Styela clava: one gene and its partner. The protein of the gene in region 2 interacts with the protein of the main gene of each other region in a pairwise test. Links are inferred from orthologs where the notes say so. Each region holds a gene or a part of one and is shown on either strand. Other genes may lie near its edges.

What was found.
Region 1: the proteins of kinesin-like protein KIF9 (region 2) and protein arginine N-methyltransferase 6-like interact in a two-hybrid assay, tested with the Homo sapiens proteins (2 studies listed by BioGRID and IntAct). The link is inferred for Styela clava from reciprocal best matches to the Homo sapiens genes KIF9 and PRMT6.

The regions. Positions count from the first base shown.
Region 1 is NC_135256.1:13,905,910-13,914,041, forward strand, and holds the start of protein arginine N-methyltransferase 6-like, read right to left. Parts: upstream 3,225-8,132; 5' UTR 3,202-3,224; coding exon 2,995-3,201; intron 1,335-2,994; coding exon 1,221-1,334; intron 475-1,220; coding exon 139-474; intron 1-138. UniProt on the Homo sapiens protein: Arginine methyltransferase that can catalyze the formation of both omega-N monomethylarginine (MMA) and asymmetrical dimethylarginine (aDMA), with a strong preference for the formation of aDMA.
Region 2 is NC_135250.1:15,179,293-15,186,659, reverse strand, and holds the start of kinesin-like protein KIF9, read right to left. Parts: upstream 3,176-7,367; 5' UTR 3,043-3,175; coding exon 2,950-3,042; intron 2,456-2,949; coding exon 2,345-2,455; intron 1,512-2,344; coding exon 1,350-1,511; intron 1,182-1,349; coding exon 1,061-1,181; intron 649-1,060; coding exon 568-648; intron 370-567; exon of another isoform or gene 359-369; intron 1-358. UniProt on the Homo sapiens protein: Essential for normal male fertility and for progressive motility of spermatozoa.

The DNA of each region.
Region 1 (8,132 bases), on a different chromosome or scaffold from region 2:
TGATCCATAGGTATACCAATTTAAGATGCCATAAGGCTAGGTTATAGAATCTGAGATAGCCCATCACAAAAAGTATCTGGGAATCAAGTGATGATTGCAAAAAGATGTTACTTCTGAACTACTTGCATGCGTTCTTACCTCCTTTGCTAATGATTCTCTGGCAAATGGGATTAGACATGCCATGTCGACACCATAAACTTCATCCATATCATTCCAAAAATTAACTTTTTCCACCATCACCTCATCATCGCATACAGGTGCAACAAAGATAGTGGCATGATCTGGCAACATTAAACCTCCGGGCTTCAACCATTTATCTCTGGCCCATATGACGGATGACAACATTGATTCATAAAGCAAACAGTATCCCATCCATTCACTGACGATGATATCAACTTTTTCTGGCAAATTTACTTCTTCCATAACACCATGAATAACTTGGACACGGTCTTGCAATCCATTGTGCTCAACTACCTGTTTAAGGATAGGAATATTCTTTTATAACCCTGGGAAGAGGAAAGCTGATATGACGACCTAATGGCAAACCATAGCCTCTCGTTCGGTTACCAGTCCATTTCGGCTATGGGATTAGTTAGCCAGTTATTTGTTTTCAGATGCATGGGCTTGATTGTGGAGGAAGCCACAACCACCAACCGGTTATGTGAACCCCCCTTGTGAGTGAGCAGTGAGAAAACCAACAATCCTCTCGCGAACCCACGCAAGGCAAGTGTATTCCTAATACTTAGCACGATGCGCCACACCGCATACTAGCTGTTTTTATTGGAATAGTTTATTTTGAAATACGAAAGATGAGAAACCAAATTCATATACGAACATAATAGGCTACTAAATTTTGCTGTCATAGCTATAATGCAAGATGCACAAGTAAATCTTGCTGGAATTTATGGCCATTCGAATTATATCAAAATGCGACATTAAGATACCAGCATAGACAAAGATATTAACGATGATTTTTAGATGGTAGACCTAATAAATCTAAGAACAATATACCCCAGATTTAGCTGGTCTTACAGCTGAACAGCTCAAAGATATAAGCTATAGAATGTGTGATTGAAAAATCTGGTTGGAATTTATACTATATATATACGATATACTATTATAACACTAACATCAAACAACTGACTTTCAAATACTTACAGAATGAGTAAAAATAAGATTTGTAAATAATATGAATCAAAAAATGTTTAACATTTTCACACCTTTTCTGCCTGCTTGGCAATTTTGCTGGCTTCAACTGCATAAACTTTTGCTGCACCAACTTGAGCACAGAAACAACTTAGAATACCAGTGCCAGCACCAACATCTAGTACTACCTGAAAAATGAAATAGATAAAGTTATTTTATTATTACAAAAGGAATTCTATTTTCTCTAGAAATACAGAGAGTTTTTATGAACATGGTGTGAGCATAATAACGGTTCTACAAAATAGAAAACTTTATTGCCATACAAATGTCTCCTTTCACTGCTGAAAATCAGAATCGTTCCAACCAGGGGTTGGAGGTTTTTGTGCAAGGGAGGAGGAGAGAATCTATTTTGCATAGGGACGCATTAAGAAAAGCATTTAATTCACAACTTACATTGTTGAAAATCGCATTAATATTATTTCAATAATTCACATTTGAGATATTTTAAATACAACTGAAATTCAAAAATGAATCTAAATTTTGTATGTAGTGGTAAGAAATATCCTAATTTTCCCCAAAAGCAAAGGGCGCGAAAATTGCTCCGGGTCATAGTTTGCGCATCCCTGATTTAAACTTATAACCTAAAATGAATAAATGCCAATGCTGCAATCTTCCATGAGGCAGGTTAGTATAAATGTTCATACAAAGTTGGGTTGTGCATAAATAAATTTGATCCCGAAGTTCACATATGCAACTCGAGTGAATATAATGCAATGTCTGGCACTCAATATGGTTCTAGACAAAAAAGGCAAACTTAAAAACATTCACACATAGAAAAACTATCAAATAATGTGCCGGTCAAAAATTGAAATGGGTGAAACATATAACATGAAATGTAGTGCTGGGATCCCATTGTGCGTAAGAAGAGCACACATAAAACATCTCACATAAAAAACATGTACATGTCACATCATGTCCAAACACAATTAACTCTAGTGAAAATTTTGCTGCCGTTTCATTTTCAATACAAGATTGCAAATGAGGCCTCAAAGAAGTTTCTGCAACTTGTTGCTCTGCAGCGGCGTGTAGCCGATTTCTTTGCTTCGTTTTAATTAAAGCTAGTGATGAAAATGTTTTTTTCGCATAATGCAGTAACTGGTTGAAAATACACACAACAGTTTGATTGCTCGATTGCTTAGCAATGGGTATTTATTATCAAGAGATATCCAAAATTGTGACAGTGATTCTTTTTTAAGTCTGGACTGTAAAGTCAAATCACAATTTTAATCAAGCGTTTTCTTTTTTATCGGGTTCATCAAAGCCGGGGCCGAATAAGCTAAAAATGTGATTACTCTGCACCAAGATGACGCAAAAGACGTCGCAAGTTGTCACGAAAGACTTCGCAATACTGCTAGTGCAATATGACGGCAGAAGAGAAATTGCGTAATAAACCAACGCAACCTCGTCTTCGGTGAAGCGATTGAGTCGGCATAAAAACAACAAAAGAACGAGACTTCTCGCGAAATGGCGATTGGGAACCACTGTCATATACCATACTTCTGTACTTGAATTGGGAACTGACATGTCACAACAGTACCAGGTTGCAGCAACGTACAAAGACACAACATGCAAACTTCTGGATTTGTGCAATTTTTAAACTTGAACAATCAAAAAATTAGTCTCACACAGTTCAGTTGGGCAATGGCTAAATCATTAAATACCTGTAAATCCAACCCTTTCTGGTGATTTATATTTAATGGCATGGCAGAATCGTGTCACATGTCCTGACTGCCTGATGCAGTGCAGCAGTGATGTGTTACCGGTAAGCAGTAAATATTACAGAATTACCTTTCCACTTATTGCATCTCTACATGAAAATATTGCTTTTTTGTATGCATTAGTTCGTTCACCATCACCAAGCATTTCCTCGTGGACAGAAATATCGCAATACGATTCAAAATATGATTTTTCTTTCATAGAGTGAAGTCTTGGGCGTTTCGCTTTGTCAGCCATGTTATTAATCGATAATCGTCGAATCAAAGATTTAATAAGCATTACACATCACTGCAAAAACTGAAAAAAATAAGTGTAAGTTGGTGTTACTCGGATATCAAAGAAATACTACTTCTATCGAACACCATGAACTACAGACAATACAAACAAGAGCCTATGAAATTAGTATTACTTTAGATAAGATAATGCAGCACGCCAGACATCGCTGCAATCTCGCCAGCAAGTAGCTCACGCTGTGTTTAGCATTTGGCCTACTCCGGAGGTTCTCGACATTTTCACTTGGCGGTTCGCAACAACGGTAATTGATAATTGAATGAGCACTAGGCCTACTGTATTAATGTCGTATTCCTCGCAATAATACATCCGAGGATTTACCGCTACTTCGGTAAAAGGACTGATTTTTATTGATACGATTACCCACAATTGCCACAATATTAAATTAAAGTCGCGTAATAATTTTATGATACTGCGTTTGGTCAGTATATATTTACGGTTTGGTGCTCATTGTGCAGCAAATTGCAGGTTTATGATGTCACAATGAGTTCGGTAACAGTTGAGTAGGGATGGCCCCCGATTGTTGTTTGGATGGCCAGGTTGGCCACGTGTATGGTGGCCCATCGTTGTCACGCGTAAAATTGAAAATAAAAATAAAAAATAAAAAACCGAAAATAAAAAAATTGTTGTAAAAAAACATAAAAATAATTAAAAAAAAAAATAAAAAAATAAAATGAAAATTAAAAAAAAATAAATAAATAAAAACGAAAAAAAAAAACAAAAAAATAAATTAAAAAAAAAAAAAAATTAAAAAAAAAAAAATTGAATAAAAAGAAAATAAAAAGGTTGACAACGATGGTCCGCCTCGTGGCCCATCGTTGTCACGCGTTTTTATTTTTAGAAAATTTGCTTCTGCTTGGGACCAACGTTGTCAGGCATAATCCTACGCGCACAAATGTGTTCCGCGGGTTTCAAACTCACTACTGATTTTCTTGAGCAATTTTCAATATGAAAATGTTCTATAAATTCTCCATGCTACAAGTTCAACAAGAACTAATATATTTATAATAATGATAAGAGAATATAGAATTGAATACGAAAATTCGGAAAATTTGTTTTTAACGTGTATAAGGTAATTTAATTGGCGAATGCTGCTTAACTACTCAGTTGTCTGGACACTCGCGATGCCGGTACCGTCTTACCAAATACCGGTAGTCGGTTATAGTCGCTTTGCGTCTGACCGTACCGGTAGCCATACAATCACTCATGAAAGAATGGGAGATACGGATAGTCTCGTAGAATATAGAATACTGAAACACTCTCTGCGCCTGCCCCATACCGTACAGCCGTAACGTACCGATCCAGACAAATGATAAATCGCCCGTGCTCAACCATTTATTTCAATCCATACCTCGATCCTAGTAGAATATAGTGAGTCGAGGTATGGATTGAAATAAATGGTTGAGCACGGGCGATTTATCATTTGTCTGGATCGGTACGTTACGGCTGTACGGTATGGGGCAGGCGCAGAGAGTGTTTCAGTAGACTACATTCTATCGAGACTATCCGTATCTCCCATTCTTTCACGAGTGATTGCATGGGTACCGGTACGGTCAGACGGTACCGTACCGGCATCGCACGAGTGTCTGAGCAGTTAAGCAGCATTTTCCAATTAAATATCTTCTACACGTAAAAACAAATTTTCGTATCCAATTCTATATTCTCGTATCATTATTATAAATATATTGCTTGTGGTTGAAGTTGTAGCATGGAGAATTTATAGAACATTTTCATGTTGAATTTATTGGATATTGCTCATGAAAATCAGTAGTGAGTTAGAAACCCAGGAAACACATTTGTGCGTGTAGGATTAAGCCTGACAACGTTGGTCCCAAGCAGCACCAAATTTTCCAAAAATAAAAACGCGTGACAACGATGGGCCACGAGGCGGACCATCGTTGTCAACCTTTTTATTTTCTTTTTATCCAATTTTTTTATTTTTTTTTTTTTTCAATTTTTTTTTTAATTTCAATTTTTTTTTTTATTTCTTTTTTTTCAATTATTTTCATGTTTTTTCATAACTATTTTTTTATTTTCGCTTTTTCATTTTATTTTTTCATTTTTTGTTAAATTTTACACGTGACAACGATGGGCCACCATACACGTGCAATAAAAAAACATGGTAGATTTAGCGTTTAAACAGCGGTAAATGTGACATGTTTTAAATCTTCAGGAACTACCTTGTTTCCCCGGAAATAAGATAAATATTTCAATTTTGTTCCAAAAAATAACACTAGGGCTTATGGACCTTTCCCCGAGCATCGACTTCCTTGTTTACTTCGTGACATTGGCCAATCAGCAAATTGCAAAAAGTGACGTAACAATGCTCCCTTTTCGCATCCGGTCAGAGTGAGACACTTTTCTCACTCAGACAGATTTTCAAGCGTGGTCGTAAACATTACCTCGTTTTCGCATTTTTGAACTCTATTCGTTAGTTTTCAGTTGTGTTTTGGAAACTTAAATGTAAATCAGATAATTAAATGGTCACCCTGTCTTCCTAGGAGTTTTATTTTAATTGCAGTAATAAAAATCAGTGTAGAAATAGCTGTGATAGACTAGGCTAAAATTCTTTATCGGTAATTTTAAAAAACAGATTGTTGTATGCGATGAATCATAATGATGGTTTGAAACACATATCCCATTTCACAGGCGCCAACTCGCAAAAGCACTCTTAACATAGCCCCGAAAATTTTGCATTGGTTAAGTCAGCGATTCCCAAACTCTCCGCCCAACACTAGTGTTCCGCGAGCGTCTTCCGAGTGTTCCGTGGAGAAGAAATCAAAAATATCGCCATTGCGATCTAGAAATCGTGTAGTTGTCGCCAAACTGACCGTTCAATATCGCGTTATCGTCGGCCTAAAGCAGACTAACTGAGGTAGAGTAGTGGCATTTTCGTGACCGTCGTCGTAGCTTTTTGACTGTTAAGTTTACATAGACTTACCATACGTCCCGCCGTTTTAGGCGGGACAGTCCCACTTTTTAACGTTTTGTCCGGGCGTCCCGACCGGTCAGCCAAAAGTCCCGCTTTGGCGTTCACCCAGTCAGCATGATACATGAACATCACCAATTAGCATGTTCTCGATACTGTTGTTGCCGTGTGGTGTACCGGTGGTAGCATACTTACTGAAGGTGGATGCGTGGTTTTGTTTGTTTCGTTGTTTTCCGCTAACATTATTAGCGGTTAATTGCTACAATAGTTACGTGTAAGCCCCATACGTCAAAAGAGCGCTTAACGTAAAGTCCTTTCTATTTATTGAATTGAAACCGATTTTTAGACAGACACCACATGCACTCTCGATGACAATATAGTTACTGAAGACAGCCGGGATGGTTTTAAATGTGTGCCTAATGTAAAATCGGTAAATTTAAAGTTGAAAAAAAAAACACATCTATGGCCTTTGGAGGCGTCCCGCTTTGAGGTCACAAAAAATATGGTAACCCCAAGTTTACAGCAATCATTTTGGTTTTGTTATAAGCAAACAAGTAGGTCTAAAGAAAAAAGGCAAAAGGCCAACTCTTCTTCCTCCGTCGCTGCCTGGTTTTACTATGAAATGCTGAAAAATTACTCATGTTCGCTAAATTCAATTCAGCAGATAAATAAACTGCAGCTCGCGAAATTGCAGCAAGTAGGCTACTTTTATATTTCCCTAGAGGTAACATTGGAGGCAAACACTACGTAATGAAAAGTAAACGACATAGACAGGTAAAAAATTGTGAATTGGTGAATTTATTGATTCATATACACAGCTCTTAAATTAGGAAACAATAAAACATTTATAATAAATGCAATATGTAAAATATTCAATCATATTTCAGGTATGTTTAACCGTAGTAGTATATATTTACGGTTTAACACAATTCTGTTAGTTTTCGCGGCGCATTTGGCAACTCGTCACGGCGAACCCATTGGGAACCGCTACATTACACCGTTTTTCTTTATCAATTTTAGCTTTCCATTTTTTGGTGTTCCGTGAGGCGAGATAAAAAGTCTAAGTGTTCCGTGGCCGAAAAAGTTTGGGAAACGCTGGGTTAAGTATAGGAAGAGTTTTTCGGGGGTCAAAGGTCCATTTTCGGGTGATATCTTATATTTTTATTTATCAAAAACGAAATTAAAAGGTAGAGAATTACGAGATTTTCAAATATACAAACTATGAAAACCGATATCCATTTACTTACAAATAACACGTTCTTAGTCAAAACAATTTTAAAATATAGATTATCAATCATTTAAAACGTGTAGGAGCAATGACATTAAACAGACTAGGTCTTATTTTAAGCGGAGGGCTTATATTAAAATCATTTTTAAAAATTAGGCTAGGTCCTATTTTCAGGAAAGGTCTTATTTTCGGGGAAACACGGTATATAAAATGGGTGCCGAAAGCGCAAAACACTTCGCCATATTTTTTCAAATTTTAGTGTTTGAATATTCTCTGACACAACTTTATGTGGCGACTTTATCTTAGCTATCTTGGTATCCCAGGCTAAAAGATTCTCTTACTCAAAGTTGTATCAACTATCCGATTCAATAGTACTGGATTCAACGATACCTCACAAATATGTTTACGGTTCATTGAAAAAAAAAAAAACAGGCCCGACTCAATTAGTTTTATCATCGAGAACTGCAGTCACTCTACCTTGTTCGTTTGCTTTCGGACGAAAAAGGTAAGGCTTTTTTCGAAAAAACATCCGCTCATATAAAAGATTCGCCGAAAAGACAAACGCCATATCATTGATGCTTTTCAGTTGTTGGGTTACTATGGATACAAATGGTACGAAACGTTCAGTTGAGTCTCGCTTCCGATCAAAGAAAAATGTCAAAATTACTGTCGTGGTGAAGGATAAACAATGTTCAATCTATACAAAAAGGATGTACAGTATGATTCCACCTTGTTCGCCGAGATACAAAACAGAACAAACAA
Region 2 (7,367 bases):
CTTTGCCATCAAATTATGTTCGGGCATTGCACGAAATTCATAACGTGAAAAGATTCGTCCATCGGTGAAAATTGTTTATAACAACTTTAAACCTATTCAGTGTTTTTAGCGATAATAATTAATTGTTGTAATAAAATACGGTTTGTTTGCAATGAATTAGGTTGTGCAAAAGTGAGAATACCTGTGATAATAATAAGGCGTAACGTGGAACGGGCAAGGGCGAGAAAACCCAAAGCGTATTACCCGTGCATCTTTTACAACAATGTGAGGTGCTCCGAAGGTGGGTCTCGTGTACATTATTGTAAGAAAACAGTTATAATATCGGTAACTGTTAACCATCCATTTTGAATACAAGGTATGTTGTATTAACAAGAATAGTATTTCCCTTATCTGATCTTCTATGTTTTTTTTATCTATAGCTAAAGCTATTTTATAGCTAAATGGCTACAAGAGTAGGAAATGTTCATGTTTCGTGATAGGTGTGCCGCGAATATTTAAAAAGCTTGATAGTGTGCCGCGACAAAAAAACCACTGTTCTAACCTATAACACACTATTTACCACACTACCTGCATGTAACGAAAGACCTTTAACACTGACCGATCCATTGTCTCCTTCAACTATTGTCATACTTTGGATGTCATAATATGCTGAAAAAAAAAATTGTTACCTGATAACTGAAGCTTTTGCAAAAACAGAAATTTGGTTTACTGGTTCATATACTAAACTACACCAAGAGGGGGGCTAATGTTTTGCATGATAAAATTCTATATTTTAGTAGCTTAGTATTCTTAAATTTGTACAACTGCTTTCAAATTCAATTTTTCCACATCATAGTCTATAACTCAGTCTATCCTATCCCAGTATGCATATTCAATACATATGCCACTGTTAGTTTAAAGTCATTTATGCTTTTACATAGATATAACATAATTTACCTAAAATAGAGCAATATAATACTGCTACAACAATGAATTTTATATAAAAAGGTGATATATGCAACTTTGTTTCATAAATTTGTTCGTAAATAAGCCTAATTATAAAATTCAATGCGAAACTAACCAGATGATCCAGAGGCAGGTAATGTTGATAGAAGATCAAACATGTTTTCATTATATATTTCAAGATAAGATATTCTTACAGTGACAACATTGTCAACTTGCTCTTCTATTTCTTTGAAAACCTTGACAGGAAATAAATGATAAACAAGAGTTGATTCATCTTGAAATATTTAACATTTTGAAATTTCCCATTTGATATTTGGTTTATTTCATAACCAATCATCAATCAAGTATTTACTGAGTTAAGAAGCATTTTTCCAAACCAAATAAGATCATCAGTTCACTCTAACCTGAGATATAGCTCGTGGTATGATTCCTCTTTGTTTGAAGTTTTCAGTGGCACCAGTAATAGTAAAAGTTTTTCCTGCACCAGTTTGTCCATACGCCATCAAAGTACCATTATATCCATTCAAAGATCTTGTAACCATCTTGGAAGCAACTTCATCATAGACCTGTTGGATTGTGTATGTAAACATTGAGTTTGGTACATTATTTTATTTGTTAATCTGATAGCATCTATTATCCTCAACAGTAGCTTCCCATGTACAGTACAAATTTATTATTTTTTAACATTTTTTCATTTCTGAATTTTCCTTTCATCTTATTTTTATGCATGGATGTCTATCACCTGACTCAAGGTGAAAAACTTAGATAGGCCATAACCAGCTATAGTCATAGTCAAGTTTATTTTTTCCCATTCAGTAAAAAATAACATACAAAATTAACAAAATACAAAACTGAAAACACATTTTTACTGAGGAAGGGAAGTCGCGGGGAAACCAGGAATGGTTATCGAGCAGCGACACCCGATAATATACGCCATCAGCTACTTTAAAAATAAAAGTATTACAATTGTTTTTAAACCTTAGGAGCTCCTTGAATATCATTGACTTTTTGTCTGTGGCCTTACATAAAAAGGAGTTCAGCCAGATAAAAATTTATCTAAGAATTTTAGACCGATTACCAAATTACTGATAAGAGCTATTATCAATATGAAGACGCAGATGGCAAGTGCATGACATGAAAAAAAGCTGTATAATGTTTTCTCAGAAAAATAATTATTAGAGATAAAAGGTTTTACTACTTACTGAATAGAGTGCGAAGAGCGCCAAACAGCGCAGAAGAGAGGGAAAGAGCGCGAAACAGCGCAGGAGAGATGGAAACATTGTTCTTTCATTATTTATTAGCGTCCGTGAAATTTTAAACAATTTGATGGGAAACAGTATACAGTATTATACAGTACAGGGTATTATAATGCTATAATCATGGAGATTAATAGAAATACCTGATCTTGGTTGGCATTGTGTAAAATTCCATCAACTTTAAATGACCAATCTAACAACTGATTATCCACAATTTTTTCTTTTTCATCTCTCTGTGTGTGAACCTTGATGGTCTAAATAAAAACAAATAAATATTAGTCAATTGGAGCAAAACGCATATACTAAATTCTTGCATAAAAATATAACAGCCCTCTAAAGTGACCAAAATTTCAGTAATAATTTTAATTCAGATTGAATTCAGTCATGATCCACATGATCTAAGAGGAGAATTTTTTGTTTTATCATTTGTGATAAATTTTAGAATTTTTCTCCACACTTGAACCGCAATAAGCTGCATAAAATAACTTCCACAATAACAATGAAATTGTTAATTATCTGAAAAAGGATTTAGTGCATAACATTGCAAAGCTGCATAACATACGTTTATTCGTTCAGAGTTTGAAAATAATGGCATTTTCGTTTTTAAATGCTGTTTATCAGTGAGTAGAAGATGCATGTAATCTGCTGGTCTGCCTGCCTGACGAAACATGAAAGGAGATGAGATACATCGTTTTACAAAACTTCGAATAAGCATTTGATATTATTATAATTCTGTAATTCCACAAACCTTTCCATCTTGAAGAAAATCAATCATTCCATGAGCAAAATTGGGAGTTGGTCTGGTTCTTACGAAAATTCTAACTCGATTATTTTTGGACATGTTATTGTTCAGTTAAATGTATTCAAATCATACCAAAAAGCTTGTAGTTTTACGACAATAATGAGCACTCCTACAGTACAGAAGCGCAGCAAGTAGTAGAGCCAAACCAAAGCCGCACACGTTGCTATGTGTTGCTATGCCGGGTCGAAGAGGGTCATTGATCCGCTAGGTTTTCGGACCAAGGTGAACATAAACACTACATGTGCTTGGATCACAGAGAATGATAAGAGAATGTTGACCCTCTATACTTGGATAGGATTTATTCGTTTAGAAATATTTATTGCCGGGGAGCAACTCACATTTATATGTTTGCTTGGATGGAATAGTACGGAATGTAGTTTTGTTGACATCAAGAGATAATTTATTAACCAACATCCAGCTATGAATGTTGAGCAATTCTCGGTTTGCAACTGTCATTTGTTGTTCCAAGTTTTTCCCAAACAAAATCAAATCAGTGGCATCAGCAAACATGGTTGACTCAAAAGAGTCCAGATACGTAATCATGTCGTTTAGGTAGACTAGAAAGAATAATAGGCCCTGGTAAAGATCCTTAAGAAACTACTTGCCTCGTGACACAAATATTGGTAGAGAATGAATTGTCACATTGCACAACTTATTTTCTTTCTTACAATACAGCAATACAATTTTATTTTGATCTTTTGTCTACAACTTGACAACACAGAACACAAAATAAAAACACATTCAAGGGCGACGGAAAGATCGGGAAAATGGGCAAAACCTCGAGAAAGGTTTATAGCGAACGCTGCAAGCGTTTGTGCCCATTTACCCACACTGACACAAGTGGAAAACACATCACAGCAATTATACTGAAAATTAATAAACGACATGTACATAAACACGAGAAAGTAAAATTCACGGGCAAAGCTTACTTGTAGAATTTGCAGGTAGCTCCTTATCCAATTGAAACGAACCCCTCTAATTCCATAATGAAGCTTATTTAAAAGGATAGAATGATCATTGGTGTCAGCTTTTAAAATATCAAGAAATATAACAATAGCATGTTGCTTTCCTTCAAACGCCTTGGTTGGTTTATGTACAAGTCATTAGCAGCCATAGCATTGGAGTGTTGCTTGTGGAAACCGAACTGATGCGAGTAGAATATACTATGGCTTTCGGAATAATTTGACATTCTGCTATGCATTATTTTTTCAAGAATTTCTGAAAACGAATGAAAAAGTTGCCAGGATCTGAAACGTCACTCTTTTTAAAAAGGGGAAAAATTTTGGCTGTCTTGAAACTTTTTATGAATATTCCACTAGATCAGTGGTTTTCAACCTTTTTTCTGTCGTGGGCATTTTTGTTGCACAGAAATTCCGTGGTCCATTAACTTTTCCATGATAGGGTAAAACTACAAGAAAAAAAAATATTCTTCCCGCAATATAAACAATTTCACTTTAATGATAATATAAATTACCACTCAGTAGCAAACAACAGAAGCATCATTTATTGCAATCAAAATTTAATTATAGTGACACAAATGAAAGTAAATTTATCGATAACTCTTGCAATTTTCAATAGGATTGTGGTCCACCTGAAAATGTTTCTGCGGCCTAGCAGTGAGCCATGGCCCACTGTTTGAGAACCGGTGCACGAAATAGTGAGGTTGAATATAAATGTCAAGATATCAATGATTTGTTATAACATATTTCAAATGGAATACTATCGATTCCAAAACTTGACCTGGAATTCATTTGGCGTATGATATTTTTTTTATTTTTAAAGATGTAGTGCAGGGGTGTGCAAAGTGCGGCCCGCGGGCCAAATGCGGCCCGCAAGGGAAAATGGTGCGGCCCGCGGAAAAGTGCCAATTTTGAATGGTGTCCAGCTAGCGAAATGAGTTTTTAATTTATTTCAATCTGGTTCCCTTTGCGTGGCAAAGCTTATATTCGAGTCCAATTTATTTTTTACGGCCCAGGGTGGTCCAAACTGCGGCCCGCTGACACATTCCGTGCGGCCCACAGAACAATTTTAGCATACACTATCAAACCATTGGCAGATATTTATATTTATTAGCGGAACAATTTTGATTTATTTTCAAACTATTCCAACTGGGAATAGTCCGTTTTCTAATCCCTATGTCAGGACTGACGTTTGTGTCTACATGTATATGGGAATGACGTCCTGTGATCGGTAAAAAGAGAATGAATTGTCTTGTGCATGCAGGCAGGACCTAGCCGATGAGATGAGCTCGCGTCAAGTAACTCCTCATTTGAAATGACGTTTTGTGCCTTTATTTTAGTCAAAACACTCCTCTATTTTCAAGTGTTGGCCATGTGACAGCAGTGACGAACCATAATAGAGAGCCTATGTTAAATGAAAGTGCGGGCCGCATTTACCCAGTTATCGATATCTAGCCCGCCCCTGGAAAAAGGTTGCACACCACTGATGTAGTTGGTCTTAAAACATGGATGAAAATTCTTGCTTTCCAAGATATGAAGGGAGATTTTTGTCACAGCTAGCTGGTTGTGACAAATTGTTAAGTAAGCTTTGTGCCACTTGGGAAAAGTGTTCTTCAAATTTATTTGCGCATGATATATTTTCTTAATGATGTAGTCGATTGATTTTATTTACCAATTAGTTCACTAATTGTCTTCCACACTTCCTTGATGTTGCCTTTGTGAGAGGCAAATTTAGACACATATATATTTGAGTTTTTTATAAAATAGGTATTTATGTAATGCTGCGCACCTGATTGTTAACTCAGATTTAAGAATTCCGAAACCTATAAAAATGGAGATTTAGCATGATATGCACATTTGTGCAATTGTTTCGTCATAATGAATTATCATTGGTACCGCCGGACTATTGTGACGTCACAAAGGCAAAATAACCTCGTCGAAGTATTTTCGAGTTTTTGCATCTCGGATTCTAGCTTAGCGCGTATTTATTTGAATCTATACTGCAGTATAGGAAGACGTGCATTTGTGATATTCACTGTCCGAGTCCAATTTACCTTGGTTGGCTTTTATATTGAGTGCATTGCTGTTTTATTCTTTATATTTAATCTTAGTCTTATTTGGTGGGTGTGCAGAACGTGTTATATTGATTAAATATATATTTTTAAACATAAAAAAATAATGTAATTGAAACGTATTAGCCATTTTGGGGATTAGACATTGTAGATACAGAGAATTACATTCGTTTTTGGAATGTTTAGTTTTCAGGACTGGTACATATAGTAAAGTTGCAAAATTGCGTATGTCCCCAAGTCATAGACACAATTCTGCATAAGTCACAGTGCGCCATTATGACGTCACCTAACTGCGTCATACAAATTAACTTAAATCCGGCTACGATCAAAAAATTGAACCATGGCAAATTCTTGACTCTCAATGGCATAACAATATCATTAGGAAGTTTTTTACGTTTTTGTCAAAACTGCTAAAAATGACTTACGCAATTCGAATATATTTTAATTTGATTTCTTTTTGTAGAGTAGTTTATCCGAGAATAATAGGCCAGGCTATTGTGACGTCACAAAGGCAAAATAACCTTGTCGAAGTATTTTCGAGTTTTTGCATCTCGGATTCTAGCTTAGCGTGTCGTGTCTCGATAGCCAAATTTGGTTCCCCGCGTCTTCCCTTCCCCAGTAAAAATGTGTGTTAAATTTTGTTTATTTTTTGATTTTGTATGTTATTTTTTTGCTGGTGGAAAAAATAAAATTGACTATGACTGTGCATAATATCAACGAATAAGCTGGTAATAATATTATTAACAATAGAGATATGCTCAAATATATGGACACGTAGCGCCACCCAGTGGCAATAATTTTGATGATGTCATAGCGAAAAAAAAGTAATAACCTTCTGGAGAAAAATTTTATCTTTAACCACTGAAAATATCAAAGCAATTGGTCCAGTATTCGAAGAGAAAAGCGATTTTTTAAAAATGGAGACGGAGACAAATAACAATAACAACAAGAGAGCTATGCTCAAATATATGGACACGTAGAGTCACATAATTTTGATGACGTCATAGCGAAAAAAAAAGTAATAGCCTTCTGGAGAGAAATTTTATCTTTAACCACTGAAAATTTCAAAGCAATTGGTCCAGTATTCGAAGAGAAAAGCGACTTTTCAAAAACGTGTCAAAGAACAACAACAACAACATAATATTGAAACGATCGTTATGTCCACTACGTGTCCAATAACAACAAAATTTTGAAACGATCGTTATGGCCACTAAACGTGTCCAATAAACTTATACTGCGGTGCGGTAATTTACTCCAAATTTCGCGTAGCAAGAATTTGCAGAATCAAAACGCACAACCAGTCACCACGCGGACTAAAATCTGTGTCTCCATG